Mus musculus: one gene and its partners. The protein of the gene in region 1 purifies or fractionates together with the protein of each later gene. This does not show direct contact. Links are inferred from orthologs where the notes say so. Each region holds a gene or a part of one and is shown in the gene's direction. Other genes may lie near its edges.

The links. Proteins that work in one complex are often made in the same cells at the same time.
Region 2: the proteins of Snrpa (region 1) and Prpf19 fractionate together in Homo sapiens (co-fractionation; 3 studies listed by BioGRID and IntAct, with this or other methods). This does not show direct contact. The link is inferred for Mus musculus from reciprocal best matches to the Homo sapiens genes SNRPA and PRPF19.
Region 3: the proteins of Snrpa (region 1) and Rnps1 purify together in Homo sapiens (co-immunoprecipitation; 4 studies listed by BioGRID and IntAct, with this or other methods). This does not show direct contact. The link is inferred for Mus musculus from reciprocal best matches to the Homo sapiens genes SNRPA and RNPS1.
Region 4: the proteins of Snrpa (region 1) and Sf3a1 fractionate together in Homo sapiens (co-fractionation; 3 studies listed by BioGRID and IntAct, with this or other methods). This does not show direct contact. The link is inferred for Mus musculus from reciprocal best matches to the Homo sapiens genes SNRPA and SF3A1.

The regions. Positions count from the first base shown.
Region 1 is NC_000073.6:27,193,457-27,197,679, reverse strand, and holds the start of Snrpa (U1 small nuclear ribonucleoprotein A), read left to right. Parts: upstream 1-1,408; 5' UTR 1,409-1,689; exon of another isoform or gene 1,690-1,899; intron 1,900-1,919; exon of another isoform or gene 1,920-2,123; 5' UTR 2,124-2,145; coding exon 2,146-2,236; intron 2,237-4,223. Other genes in the region: BC024978 (UPF0692 protein C19orf54 homolog), read right to left, coding at 314-666. UniProt on the Homo sapiens protein: Component of the spliceosomal U1 snRNP, which is essential for recognition of the pre-mRNA 5' splice-site and the subsequent assembly of the spliceosome. U1 snRNP is the first snRNP to interact with pre-mRNA.
Region 2 is NC_000085.6:10,898,220-10,901,735, forward strand, and holds part of Prpf19 (pre-mRNA-processing factor 19), read left to right. Parts: intron 1-425; exon of another isoform or gene 426-540; intron 541-706; coding exon of another isoform or gene 707-763; coding exon 764-905; intron 906-985; coding exon 986-1,059; intron 1,060-1,150; coding exon 1,151-1,213; intron 1,214-1,955; coding exon 1,956-1,997; intron 1,998-2,104; coding exon 2,105-2,179; intron 2,180-2,470; coding exon 2,471-2,546; intron 2,547-2,707; coding exon 2,708-2,817; intron 2,818-3,516. UniProt on the Homo sapiens protein: Ubiquitin-protein ligase which is a core component of several complexes mainly involved pre-mRNA splicing and DNA repair. Required for pre-mRNA splicing as component of the spliceosome.
Region 3 is NC_000083.6:24,417,664-24,421,179, forward strand, and holds part of Rnps1 (RNA-binding protein with serine-rich domain 1), read left to right. Parts: intron 1-374; 5' UTR 375-484; coding exon 485-555; intron 556-793; coding exon 794-949; intron 950-2,542; coding exon 2,543-2,734; intron 2,735-3,516. UniProt on the Homo sapiens protein: Part of pre- and post-splicing multiprotein mRNP complexes. Auxiliary component of the splicing-dependent multiprotein exon junction complex (EJC) deposited at splice junction on mRNAs.
Region 4 is NC_000077.6:4,177,343-4,180,202, forward strand, and holds part of Sf3a1 (splicing factor 3A subunit 1), read left to right. Parts: intron 1-70; coding exon 71-278; intron 279-728; coding exon 729-883; intron 884-1,798; coding exon 1,799-1,900; intron 1,901-2,011; coding exon 2,012-2,083; intron 2,084-2,691; coding exon 2,692-2,793; 3' UTR 2,794-2,860. UniProt on the Homo sapiens protein: Component of the 17S U2 SnRNP complex of the spliceosome, a large ribonucleoprotein complex that removes introns from transcribed pre-mRNAs.

The DNA.
Region 1 (4,223 bases):
CGTGCTCACTAGCATTTGTAGCTGCTTCGATTCTAGAAGCCAACACTGAGATCTGTCCTTGGGCTCCATTATCACAACTCTGGCTACTCTGGAGTCACTGTCTGGAGGCACAGAACCACTGGCTTCTGTGTCAAAGCCAGGCCCGAGCAGAAGCTGTTCTCTCTATTGCTGGAAGCTAACTAAGTAGGGTACTTAAGGCATCTGGCTGTTTGAGATCAAGGAAGTGGGACCGCAAAGAGCAGGGTGGCTGTGGTGACTTGTAATCAGGTGATTGTCTGAGATCTGGGCTGGTTTTGGGGGCTGGAGACCCTACCGGTCCTTGTGCAGCTTCAGGAGCCTCTTCACATCCTCTTTGCCTTTGGGGGCTGGGCCAGCCTTCTCTAAGGCCTCCTTCAGGAGCTGGCTGTTCTTCAGGCCATAGACATGAGGGAGAACAGGCTCCACAGCAGAGGGTAGAGGGGGAGGGGGAGGGGGAGGGGGAGGAGCAGGAGGGGGGGGAGGGGGCGGCAGTGGGGATGAAATAGATGTATGGAGACTACAAGGAGGGGATGGTAAAGCTAGGTCCGGGGGATTTAGAGGTAAAGGAGGTGGAATGTTGGTGTCTGGGGTCTCATGAATTATTGGAGAGATTGTGGGTTTTAGGGGGAAAGAGCATGGAGAAGTCATTTGGGGTCTACAGGAAGAATAAGAGGCTCTCCCCAAATCTCCCAAGGATGGAGATTTTCAGTTTTTAAAGGAACTGGATGAGAGATATTCAGGCCTGCACATTGAGATCTGTAAAAAAAAAAAAAAAAAAAATTAAAACTGGAGTTGATAGCAGAATATGGTGTCTGGCCAGTTGTTCTGGGAGAACCTGGGCTAGTATTTGAAACAGTGGAAAGAGAAACTGGGCTAAATCAAATGCTGAAGGATCCCGAAGGGTGGTCTGTGCTATGGGGCTGGGGCTACATTAGAAGGGACATTTTGTAGGTGTCATCTCATCTGCTGTAGCTAAGCTAGTTTTGGTCACTTCTGTTATTCGGAGGTTCAGATCTGTTGTGAGGTGTCTAAAGGATGTGACTTGCCTACTTTTTGCATTGCGGGCCTGAGTTTGAAACCTTGACTTTACGAGCTAGGGTTAAGAGGTTACAAAAAAGGCACGTGGGTGAGAAAACAGCCTAATGGTGGGCGGGTCATGGGCTTAGCGGGGAAGTATGAGAGTCGCAGCAACTCAGCGATCAAAGGCCAACTAAGTTGGTATAAACCTATCAATTTAGGAACTTAGGAATCTGCACAAGCGCCTCCCCAGGAGGAAATGACGTCACCCGGCCAGCCTCCACCTGTCCTTTCCCATCCCACGTGATAGAACTCGCAACCAGCACAACGCTCTTGAAGGTCACGTGATACTGGCGGAAGGGGAAGAGGTGTGGCTTCCGAAAGGCAGTCTTAGAATGCACCAGAGCTCTAACCATGTCCCAATTGGCCAGAAGCTCGTGCCCTTCTTTGATTGGTCCGTTCCCTCGCGTCCAGGGGGCGGGACCCCAAGTGTTCCTTTGGCAGACGCTGAGGCCGGGGGAGAGACTCTGAACTTACCGAGTTTGCCCGCCGTGATTAGCTCGCGGAAGGGAGAAGCCGTTGCCGGGGAAGATAGTTGTGTGTCTGTGCAGCGTAGCTCGGCGGGCGTTGTCGGCGGGAGCGACGGCTCAGGTGGTGGGTTCCCGCGGGTTGTAGACGCTGCTCGGCGCCGGGGAGGCGGGTGGAGCACTTCGGGAGGCCTCTCTTTGAGAGACTAGGATGTTCCAAGTCGGCCCCTACTTTCTTAACTGGCTCCGACATCCGGGGTCTTTTTTCCTCCCGGGACGCCTTTCGCGCACGTGGACTAATGGGAAGCGCCGCTCGGTGTGCTCCGCCTGCCGGGACTCGTAGAGCATTCTGGGATTCGTAGTTAACCTCTCTAGCTCTCCCTTAGCACGCGGGTTGGAGAAGCGGGGGCCTGTGCTGGCTTTGTTGCTAAGCTGTGACATCCTCTTCCAATTCCGGTCTTACTCGACTTCCTCTTGGAAGGGCGATCCCTGAGCATCAGCCCTTTGGAACAAAGAATTTGGGAAACTTAGGGCTAAAGTCGCTTTTTCCTCCTCTTTAAGCCGTACCTGAACATCTCACACCATGGCCACCATAGCCACCATGCCAGTTCCCGAGACCCGTGCCAACCACACTATTTATATCAACAATCTCAATGAGAAGATCAAGAAGGATGGTGAGTTCTTGGGGTAGCCTGACTCAAGGTGATATCACAAGAGTTGACCCCTTTTCACCTCTAGCATCCACATTTCTTTTTCAGCCTTCCCCATTCTGTCTGTTAGGAGTTAACTTTGGCCTTTGTACCTACTGGTTCCTTGGTTTCACCCTAGGTTTTACACTCTGCCCTTTAATCTGCGCATTGTTAGTGATCTTCCAGGTTTTAGCTCATAGGTCCCTTCTTCCTTTGAAGCCTTCCAGGATCGTTCTTGCCATCAGTCTGCTTTCATGAGACTGTCTCTGTCCACTGACCTCTGGGTGGTGGCCTCAGTGATTGACTACAATGCAGATGACACACAGGAGGGATGGGCAATGGATGGCTTTGTGATGTGGGTGATTGTGCCGCGTTCTAAGTCTTGACTGTCTTTAATTCTCACAAGCCTCTCAGATTAAGTAGTTGGAATTTGGGTGGCATAACTTGCCTGGGATCAAATAGCAAGAAAAATGAGACAGAAATGTGGGGTTCTGCTTAAGCAGATTCTTAGACTGGGCTGGTTGGCAGAGGCTGTAATTCTGTTCTTCAGGAAGAGTGAAAGTTTGAAACCATTTGGGACAACATGGCCAAAGCAGATAAAAAAGAAACCAAAGACAAACGGTTTCTTTTAGGGTGTGGAGGTACAGGGCTGTAATCCCAGTACTCAGGAGACTGAGGCAGGAGGAGCTTGAGTTCCAGACCAGCTGAGGCGACATAGCAAGACCCAGTGTCCAAAAGGTTTGAGGAATGTAGCTAGTGTTAGTCTTGCCTAGCAGGAGTAAGGATCTGGGTTCAAATCTCAGCAACTAAGAAAATCAGCATGGCCTGGAGAGAGCTCTGTGGTTAAAGAATGCTGCCTGATCTAACAGAGGATCTGGTTTTGATTCCTTGCCTCCAGGGAGGTTCGTAACTGTGTGTGTCTCCAGTTCCAGGGGATACGACATCCTCCTCTGGCTTCTGCAGGCAAAAAAAAAAAAAAAAAAATCCACACATAAAATTTTTTTTTTTTAAGATTCTTTTTAAATAGAAATCCCTACCAAATAATTCAGTTCTTGTCTGGAAGTAAGGCCCATAGTTAGAAAGTTTCTGCAAAGACTGAATCCCGGCACACATTTTTAAAAAAGTAAACACAAATGACTATTTTTATGTATTTATTTTGTGTGCATCTATAAATGGATGCATGAGGGTGGTCAGGACCCCTCTAGAGAAGCCTTTGTCTTTCAGCTGTTGAGTTCCTGAGATCATATTCAGGTCGTGAAGGCTTGTGAAGTGGATGGATGCTCTACTGCCCTTGCACTGGCCCCTTGGTGCATTGCTTTGTGGAAGTAATTCAGAAGTTAAGGAAGGGTAAATACTGGTTCTTATGACCAACTGGAGAAAAGTGTCGTGGGAGGACTGGGAAATGACTCAGCTGGTACGCATGCTTGCCTGTAAGCCTGACTTCCCAGGTCCCACTGTGATTGACTTCAGGTACCTGGTGCTCCTGCCTCAGGCTCCTGAGGGTTGGGATTCTCGGGTGGGGCCAGCATGTCCAACTGACAGGCTTGTAGCTGTTAGTGGTGGTCGGTAAGTGGACTTGTGATGTCAGCAGGAGACAGGGTAAGAAGAGGGCCATAAGGGGACATCTGGACAGTGAAGTTGGAGAGAGCTTCCTGCAGGGAGGCTGCAGATTTATGCTGAGACTTAAGTGGCTAGAGGGGCAGTCATGGAGATGTCAGGAGAAGGGCATTCAGTGAAGAGTACAACGGCTGAGGTGTGGCGGACACTAGGAGGCCGTGCTTGTGAGTCAGACTGAGACAGGAGAATTGTTGACAGTTTCAGGCTATAGAATGGGATCCTACCTTGAATAAACAAGTGAAGGAAGGAAGGAATCGATGGCATGTCAGGCTTAAAGGCCTGGAAGGTTAGCTTAAGAGTGAAAAGAAGTGTTTGTTATTTGAACAGCAAGTTTGTAGTAGGTATTATAGCTGCC
Region 2 (3,516 bases), on another chromosome or scaffold:
AGTGCTCTTAATTCCTGGACTCTCTCAACTCTCTGCAGGCCCTCTTATTGCCTTGAGATAGGACGTTGCTTTGTGGCCTCCACTGCTCTGCAACTTGTGGTCCTTTTGCCTCAGCCTTCTAGTGCTAGGATTATAAGTGCCAACCACCAGGCCTGACTCTTGGGGTGATGAACACAGGGGTAATGTAGTCCCTGGGCCACTGAGCAGCCCCTCATTTTGTGCCAGCCTTACTTATTTCATTTGTGAGGAACAAGATGCCAATACAAGAGGAGCCTGGTTGCTGGAACTCTTGCAGACCTAGATTCCAAAGTTTTCTCCAGAGTCAGCCTTTATGACTTAGGACACTCATTAGTCCTGTCTATCTGGATTCTGTAAGAAGTAGAATACAATGGACATATTTGCTTTGTGACATCAGGGACTTTTTCATTACTGGGCTCTGCATTTGCTGAGGGTAGCCAGTAAATAACCACAGCAGTGTAGTTATTGCCTTTCAGAGAGGTGATGACATTAATACCCGTGATGTGCTGGTGAATAGCAAAGGTGGGGGTGGGAAGGAGCTATCCCACTCTGTGTTTGTCCAGAGTATAGTGTGGGTAGGAGCCTGAATGCCGTACAGGGCATTCAGGGTCACTCAGAGTTGGCTTGGGTCTCTGAATAGTTCAGGTTGGTTTCAGTGTAGAATAGGAGGTGGTGTCCTCTTCTCTAGGGTTGGCCGAATTCTCCGGCTCTCCCCCAGTCCTCACAGTGGCCTACCCTCTCCCAGGATGCAGTCATGCTGCACAGCTTCACTCTTCGCCAGCAACTGCAGACAACCCGCCAGGAGCTGTCCCATGCTCTGTACCAACACGATGCTGCCTGCCGAGTCATTGCCCGGCTCACCAAAGAGGTCACTGCTGCTCGAGAAGGTCTCTTGTATTCCCTGCTGCTCCCCATCTTCTGGCCCTGCTTTGTAATGTCCCTTTTCTAACATCATCTTTTCTCTCAGCTCTGGCTACTCTGAAACCACAGGCTGGGCTTATTGTACCTCAGGCTGTGCCAAGCTCACAGCCCAGTGTTGTGGTAAGTGTTCCCTTCCGGGCCCCAGTAGCTGTCCCTTCACAGAAGTTTTTGGTGTTGTGAGCCCCTCCCACTCTCCCTTTCTTTTCTGCAGGGTGCAGGAGAGCCCATGGATTTGGGTGAGCTGGTGGGAATGACCCCTGAGATTATCCAGAAGGTGAGTCATGTGCACCTCTGATGGGACTGCAGTCCCCCCATTAGTACCACAGGCATTGGGGGCCCTTAAGAATCTCTCACGATGGGCAATGTGGGAGCCTGCACTGCCAATCGAGAGCTTTCTGATGAAGCTTACTTTAGTCTGGCTTTCTATGTCTCATTTCCCTGGCTTCTGAGTAGAATGAGGTGTGTGTACTTCACAGGCTTGTTGTGGGAAAGATTTCATTACTGATTAGGGCAGTTTTTAGCTCTTGCGGTGATTACGATCTTTGTTGATATTAAGCCATTTTGTTACAGATTTTGAAGGTTTTGCCTTAGAATAAGAGTTATCTTCAGATGAGGAGTCAGAAGTGGCAAGTCAAGACAGCTGAGAAGAGGCAGAGCAGGCTTCCAGACTGTAACTCAGGGTTCTGTTGAATGTAGTCTTCATTTGTGAGTCCAGCGGAATATGAGCAGCTCATCTGAGCGCTCAGGCTTATAGCCTCGACCAGCACCACAGCTTAGTTCCCGTCCCTACCCATTCTGGCAAGGGAGTTCTTTTAACTTTCATTTTTCTCAGCTGTACCATAAGGTCATAGATATATGACCTTATAAGATCAGGATGGAAATGTGTCAGCTGTTATCCCATAGCTTGGCAGATAGCATTTTTTGATGATGCTTATAATACCAGATGTGACTAGCACCCAGTATGCTTTGTTCTTACAAAATTATTTTTCTCACAAAATTATTTATGTTCTCCACAGCTTCAAGACAAGGCTACTGTGCTAACCACGGAGCGTAAGAAGGTGAGTTGTTGCCTGCTGTGAACACTTGCGTTTTTGGAGAAAGGTCTAGTTGAAGCCCGCTTTCATTGCTGTTCTTTGGGGTTTTTTGTTTTGTTTTGTTTTCTTAGAGAGGAAAGACTGTCCCCGAGGAGCTGGTGAAACCTGAAGAGCTCAGCAAGTACCGGCAGGTGGCATCCCATGTGGTAAGTGGCTGGAGGGGCCCTACTGTTTCTAGGACAAGATGGACGGAGGAGTCATGGGAAATGCTTCTCAGGTCTCTGGCACGTTGTCTCGACTTGGCTGCTCTTCTGTCCTGCCATGCAGTGGGGGAATTGGTGCATCCAGGCAGCCAGCCAAGCTGGATGGATAAGGGATAGGATTCACTCTCGTTTCCTGGCTGGAGAGGAATATGGGGGGTGTGGGCAAGGGGAGTGGAGGAGCTGTGAGGCTTGGATTGGGCTGTGATTGGGTTTCATGTGGCTCTTTCTGCAAAGGGTCTACACAGTGCTAGCATTCCTGGGATTCTCGCTCTGGACCTGTGTCCCTCAGACACCAACAAGATTCTCACTGGTGAGTCTAGGCCTGACCTGACAGTCAAAATGAGGGATGGCAGGACCCAGGGAAGGGACAGGCCCTTGATTCTCTGCATGGATTTAAGGACAGAAAGACCTTCTGTAGTCCAGGGTACTTAAAAGCCTGGCTCATTTTTGTCTTCTTTGGATCTTCTCCAGGTGGGGCAGATAAAAATGTTGTTGTCTTTGATAAGAGTACTGAGCAAATATTGGCCACTCTCAAAGGCCATACCAAGAAGGTCACCAGTGTGGTGTTTCATCCTTCTCAGGTAAGGCACTCTCGAAGTCACCCTTGTCTTTTTCTAAGTCCAGTTCCAGTGGTTTTGAGTCTCGGAACTAATTGCCCAACCCCTAGTGTTTTGGTGAAACAGGCATTGATGGTCTCCATGATCACCCCCATAACAGTGGTTCTCAAACCAGGGAGAAAGTAAATGGCACCAACAAGCACCCTCGAGTGTTTATAGGTACAGTACAGATGGCCCAGCTCCATGTAGTCTGACTGCCAGGTGCCTACTCCCGTGACCTTACGGGGTTAGCCTAAAAACTTAATGTTGACTATTGAAAGTTGTGGGAGTTCAAATAGATGAGAACCCTTGGCTTAGAGGATAAAGGTAGCTTAGTAGATGAGATTAATGGCTTCATAAGATTTGAGCCAAGAATACTGTGGCTTGGTATGCTGCTGCCTCTGGTGCTGGAGCAGTGCCTCCCAGTTAGTCTATCTCTTTAGGAGTTAGGAAACTCATAAATAGAGGAGTATATATGTTTTGGTCAGTGTTCTGTTGCTGCAAAGAGACACCATGACCATGGCAACTTTTATAAGAGAAACCATTTAATTGGGTGAGTCCATTATCATGGCAGGGAGTATGGTGGCAAGCATGGCACTGGAACAGTAGCTGAGAGCTGTATCCTTATCTGAAAGGAGACAGATAGACAGATAGATACATGTGTGCACACAGACAAACATAGGT
Region 3 (3,516 bases), on another chromosome or scaffold:
AAAGCCATCTACAGGTGGCTGGTTCATCATCAAACTTGGTGAACTCTAGTGTGGGACAGGCCCTAAAAAACCAAATGTAGCTACAATTACCTCTCCCACTTCATTAAGGAAAACAAAGAAGAATCTTAATATGCCTGTACCTTAGACATGTAATACATTTTGCCTTTCTTTCTCAAATAAAAAACCTAAGGTGGCCTCTAAGAGTAGGAAAGGCCTCCATGGCGCGCTAATGAGGGCCCTGGGTGTCAAGGCTGTGTGGACACTTGCTGTTTGCTGTGCTTCTGTCCTGTGTGCTCAACGGTCTTTGATGCAAAATAGAGTTGATGCTTTGTCAATTGGTTTGCTCTATTTCAATCCTTTTATCTTGTTACTAGGCTGCTCTTTGGCGTAAATTGCAATCGATTAGGGATCGTTTCTCAGACTCAAGTTAGAAGTGAGAGTTCAGATAAGTGAGGCCGACATTGCTGCCTTGAAGAAGGGGAGAATGGATTTATCAGGAGTGAAAAAGAAGAGCTTGCTAGGAGTCAAAGAGAATAATAAAAAGTCCAGCACTAGGTAATCCTCTGTAAGATTTTTTTCTAGTGCTATTTTGGGGGTGCTTGCTGTTTAAGGACCCTAGGAAAGGGGAGATTTTTGTTGTTGTTGTTCTACAGTGCGTGCCCTAATTCACAGATGATTTTGCTCTGTGATCACCTGGGATGTTAGTAATCCTTTTGGACCGCACTACTGGGTTGTGCTATCTCAGGGTTTGGTCAGAAGGGCTTGCAACCTCACATTCTATCTTATCATGCAGGGCTCCTTCTCCTACCAAACGCAAGGACCGATCTGATGAGAAGTCCAAGGATCGATCTAAAGATAAAGGGGCCACTAAAGAGTCAAGTGAGAAGGATCGTGGCAGAGATAAGACTCGGAAGAGACGCAGTGCTTCAAGCGGAAGCAGCAGTACCAGGTGGGGCAGAGGGAACCATGTCTTCCTTCACTGTGAAGCCCTCCAAGAACTTCTTTGGGGGAAAGGGGTGACACGTGTGTGTTGTGAAGGCCAAAAGTATGTTAAATTTCTTCCTTTGGGGAGGTGTGAAGGCCATCTGCTCTTCCATGTTCCCACAAACAAACAAACCTAGGTCCAGTTCAGCAAAGTTCACTCTAGGAAATCAGTGAGTTTACCAGGCTTCCAGTGCAGTGGGTGAAGGATAATTGGCAGGAATGTGGGTGGTAACTGCCCTGTGAATGTTCCCTCCCCACAGTCCCCTACTTAAAGCCTTTGCCTGAGACCTGAGGACCTGTGCAAATAGGGCAGAATTACAACTGGTTTGGAGGGGTGGCTGGATACTCCAGTGAGGGTCCCTTGACCCTGTCCCTTCCAAGAGAGACAAGCCCAGTGTGATGATCGTTAGTGAGCAAGCCCAGTTGAAGTGAGAATGACAGCAACTTTTCTGCGAGGGTAGTCCTGTATGTGTGGCTCCCTAAGAGCTGTCTGCCTAGCTTTTCCATACAGGATTTCATTGCTTCCTGCAGCTTGCCAATTGAATTGAGCTGGTTGCCCAAGGGAAGACTACGTTGTCTTAACTACATTGAAAACAGACCCTAGAGTTGTTGATAAGACCCTAATATAGCATGCAGGTTTTGTTTCATTATATATGTTATGTGGTCTTGCTGTGTAATGTGTGTTTGTGGATATAAACTCTCCTATGATACTAAAGTGTGATGTTTGGATAATGGATGAATTGTTTCTCTTGCAAGTATGTATTCATCCTGAAATGAGAATGACTGGCTTCAGGCTGGAGCCTTTTTTTTTTTTTTTAAACTGTGTTTATACATGCATACCATGTGTGTGCCTGGTTGTCACACAGGCCAGAAAGGTGCATTGGGTCCCCAGAAACTAGAGTCACAGGCAGTTGTGAGCTGCCATGTGGGTGCTAGAAACCAAACCTGGTTCCTCTTACCTGCAGAGACATTTTTCAGCTCCCAGTCTGCTCCTTTTTTTATTTAAGATGTATTTATTTTTATGTTATTTATGTATTTATTTTAATGTGCACGGTCACTGTCTTCAGACACACCAGAAGAGGTCATCAGATCCCATTGTGGATGTTTGTGGGCCACCATGTAGTTGCTGGGAATTGAACTTAGGACCTTGGAAGAACTGTTAGTGCTCTTAAACTCTGAGCCATCTCTGCAGCCCCTCTTTCTTTTTATTTTTAAGTTGAAAACCTGCCTGAATTGGTCTTCAGCCCTGTTGATCTGATTTTTGCTAGGCTGCTGCTTTTTCCTCATTGGTAAAAATAAGGATTCTGTGTAGGTAACAACAGCCCATCTCATACGGTGTTGGGACTTGTCAGATGTCATTACTGGTGAAATGGGGCTTAAGCAGGAAAGCACCGGGCAGTGGTGGCGTATGCCTTTAGTCTTAGTGCTTAGGAGGCAGAGGCGGGCAGATTTCTGAGTAAGAACCAGGAGAGCGATATCCTCTACTGAGCAGTCAGTCTTCTGTGCAGAAATAGGACTCTTGCTCATTGACTCTGTGACACCCCCACCTTGTCCTCAGGTCTAGGTCCAGCTCCACCTCCAGCTCGGGCTCCAGCACCAGCACAGGCTCAAGCAGTGGCTCCAGCTCGTCCTCTGCATCCAGCCGCTCAGGAAGCTCCAGCACGTCCCGGAGCTCCAGTTCTAGCAGCTCCTCCGGCTCCCCAAGCCCTTCTCGGCGCAGGCATGACAACAGGCGGCGCTCCCGCTCCAAGTGAGTTCAGAATGGCTAGCCTGCTCATTACAGTAGTTACTAGAAAAGTAGTTTGGGCTGACAAGATGGCTCAGCAGGTAAAGGTCTTTGCTGCCAAGCTTAACAGCCTGGGTTTAATTCCCGGGACCCACATGGTGGCATGTGATAACTCCCGTGGTTTGTCCTTTAACCTCCAATGTGCACAGTGACACACAAGTGAGGGGAAGTGCAGTGGTACATGCACATGTATTTGTACCAGGATAGTCGGAAATTTGAGGTCATGGTGGGCTGCGTGTGAGCCTGTCTCAAAAAGACACGAGAGCCAGGCGTGGTGGCGCACGCCTTTAATCCCAGCACTCGGGAGGCAGAGGCAGGCAGATTTCTGAGTTCAAGGCCAACCTGATCTACAGAGTGAGTTCCAGGACAGCCAGGGCTATACAGAGAAACCCTGTCCCGAAAAACAAAACAAACAAACAAAAAGACATGAAAGAAAGTGAATAAAAGTTAGAGGGTGGGCAGGATGTCTGAGTCAGTGAGGGTGCTCGCTGCCCAGCCCATCAACCAGACTGCCCTTCCCCGGAATACACAAGGCAGGAGCTGAGAAGGGCATCTCCCACAAGTTAGTCTCTAACTCTATGTGTGTTGCCCTGGTGCATGCCCCACAGAAGTAAAATAGACACAGATTTGAAGGGGTCTTAGTTTGGTTTCTGAATCAGGGATGATAGTCTTAGTGATCTGTTTCTGTGAAAAGACACCATGACCAAGGCAATTCTTATAAAGGATTGGGGCAGGCTTACAGTTTC
Region 4 (2,860 bases), on another chromosome or scaffold:
TGACCAGTTGGTGTGTTCTTGAAGCTGAGCCTTGGCTTCCTGTGGCTTATGTGTCTCCTCCTACCCTCAGATGCCACCTCCAGTCCGCACCACTGTTGTATCTGCAGTACCTGTCATGCCTCGGCCACCCATGGCATCTGTGGTCCGGCTGCCCCCAGGCTCAGTGATTGCCCCCATGCCACCCATCATCCACGCACCCAGGATCAATGTGGTACCTATGCCTCCTGCAGCACCTCCCATCATGGCGCCCCGCCCACCTCCCATGATTGTGCCAACAGGTCGGTGTGTAGTGTTGCTTTCTCATCTCATGGGTTAGTCCATAAAGCTGTGGTTAGCCTTAATGATGGCTGTTCCCACTGAGTATCCATCCCAGAGGAAGTCTCAACTGGGACCTGGGAGCCATATTTCTTGTGAGAGACAAGAGACTGAGATGGCATAGCTAGTGTGTCTACATTTGGTGGTCGGGTCCTTGACAGGTCCAGAAGCCTGACAATAACTATTTTTTGGCTGACCTTGCACTGCCTCCCCTTTCCTGCTGCCTAATTCGGGCAGCCTCCCAAGGCTCCCTGCCAGGGAATGTGCTGAGTGACAGACTCATCAAGGCATGGCACTTCACACCTCTTACAGAGCAAAGCCTCGAAATCACCCGGCAAAATCTCCCTAGTCCTGCCTCTTGGGCCTCTTCACCTCTTCTGTACTCACTAGGCAACTGTTCCTTGTCCTTGCAGCCTTTGTGCCTGCCCCACCTGTGGCTCCAGTCCCAGCCCCAGCTCCAATGCCTCCTGTACACCCCCCACCTCCTATGGAGGATGAGCCTCCATCCAAGAAACTAAAGACCGAGGACAGTCTCATGCCTGAGGAAGAATTCCTGCGCAGGAACAAGGTCTGTGACCCAGGAAACTGCTTGTGCCCTGCAGTATCCGGCAGCAGCATGGGTTACCCAAGCCCCAGTTATGTACTATCCCATGCCTTTAGTTCCTGGGATGTCAGTCAGCCATACGAAGCTTCTGGGGATGTTTGTAATGTGAGGTCAGTAGCTGGGAGCTTGTGGTAGTGTGGACTCCTGTGGAGATGCGGCTGCTAAGACATTATCACAGGAGTGAGGTGACAGATCACTAAACCAGCTCTAGGAAGTCTCGCTCAGCACAGTTATTAAATTCAGATCTCTCTCTCCCTGCTCTGGGAAGGTGCTCATTGGAGTAGGATTCTGCTGGCATTCTGGAATAAGGACTCTATATTGGTACTGGTGGTCTCTGACAAAGCTGTTAGGCTTTGGTGAGAAGGCAGTGACAGTCCCAAGAGATTTGGCCCATAAATTTGACAAACTAGCTAATGTGTGTCTATTCTTTGAACACCTACCAAAGGTTCAGACTATTCTCTTTAGTGTTCCCACCAGTCTGTTTTGACACAGGCAAGCTTAGGTGTCTTGTCTGCTGAGTTTGAAACCAGTACTTCACAGACCATATCTTTACCCTGCTGGTCCTTGAGTTTGCAGAATTCAGTGGAATTTTAAGGAATATTTAAGGAATGGGAATGAAACAGTATGATAATATACACTTACAATCTCAGAACTCTAGAGGCAGGAAGTTTGAGGTCAGCCTAGGCTAGCCCTGACCCCTACCTTTAAGCCTGTCTAGAAAAATAAAGAAGAAATGAAGCCTGTGTAGTGTCACACCTGGTATCAGCAGTAAAGGGGTGAGAGGGGCAGGAGTCGTTGTTTGGATGAGCAACTGATAGCACAGCATAGTTCCTAATTGGCTTGGGGCTTTCCAGACATAATGAGCACTGCATTTTGCAGGGTCCAGTATCCATCAAAGTGCAGGTACCCAACATGCAGGATAAGACGGAATGGAAGCTGAATGGTCAGGGGCTGGTCTTCACTCTCCCACTCACAGACCAGGTATGTTTTGCCACCCCCAGTTGGTACAGGTGCTTTGGAGTCAGTGGGTTGGGTCAGCTTTTTCCAGATGGTCTTAACAAGAGAATGAATGAACTTTCTGTGATCCCACAGGTCTCTGTCATCAAAGTGAAGATTCATGAAGCCACGGGCATGCCTGCGGGGAAACAGAAACTACAGTATGAAGTAAGCAAGGGTCCTGCCCCTTAGGTTCCAATTCCTCTACCATCCCTGAAACAATCTGTAGAAAGTATGATGGAGAGAGACCTGGATGAGGCCATCCTAGAAGTGATCCAGCTGGAATGCGGGGGCAGGTGGACCTAATAGTGCTGGGTTCTGACAGCATAGTATAATTCGGGTCTAAAAGCCTTGGTCTCTGGATGGGGAGCAGACCAGTGATGGGATCTTAGGCAGCCTGGTTGTTTATGGAGGTGCAAAGGGGTATTCAGGTTTTCTGGGGCTTCCTCTCTTCCTGTGTGAAATAGGGTGTTGAAAAAGATAATCACTAAAGGTCTTTTGACCTGAGAAGTCAGCTGTGCCTTTTAGTTTGGTCATGGCTAATGTTTGGGAAGTTGAAAACTAAACCAAATGTTGACAAAGTTCCTTACTTTGCATCTGTTAGAAAGAAGGAAGGAAAAAGAGATGTTCTAGAAGAAGCCAAAGTTCCATACTTCGCTGACCTTCCCTTAAGCTTCCATAGTAGTGAAGTCTAGAATAGCAGTAAGCTCAGTTGTGTGAGGCTGCATGTGGTCAAAGACAGGTGGTGTCCATTAAGACATTTGTCTGTCTTCCAGGGCATCTTCATCAAGGATTCCAACTCCCTGGCTTACTACAACATGGCCAGTGGTGCTGTCATCCACTTGGCCCTCAAGGAGAGAGGCGGCAGGAAGAAGTAGCAAGAGATACTGCAATTGAAACCTTGCCATTGTACCTCTTTGCACCACCAATTCCAGGAGTGTCCCT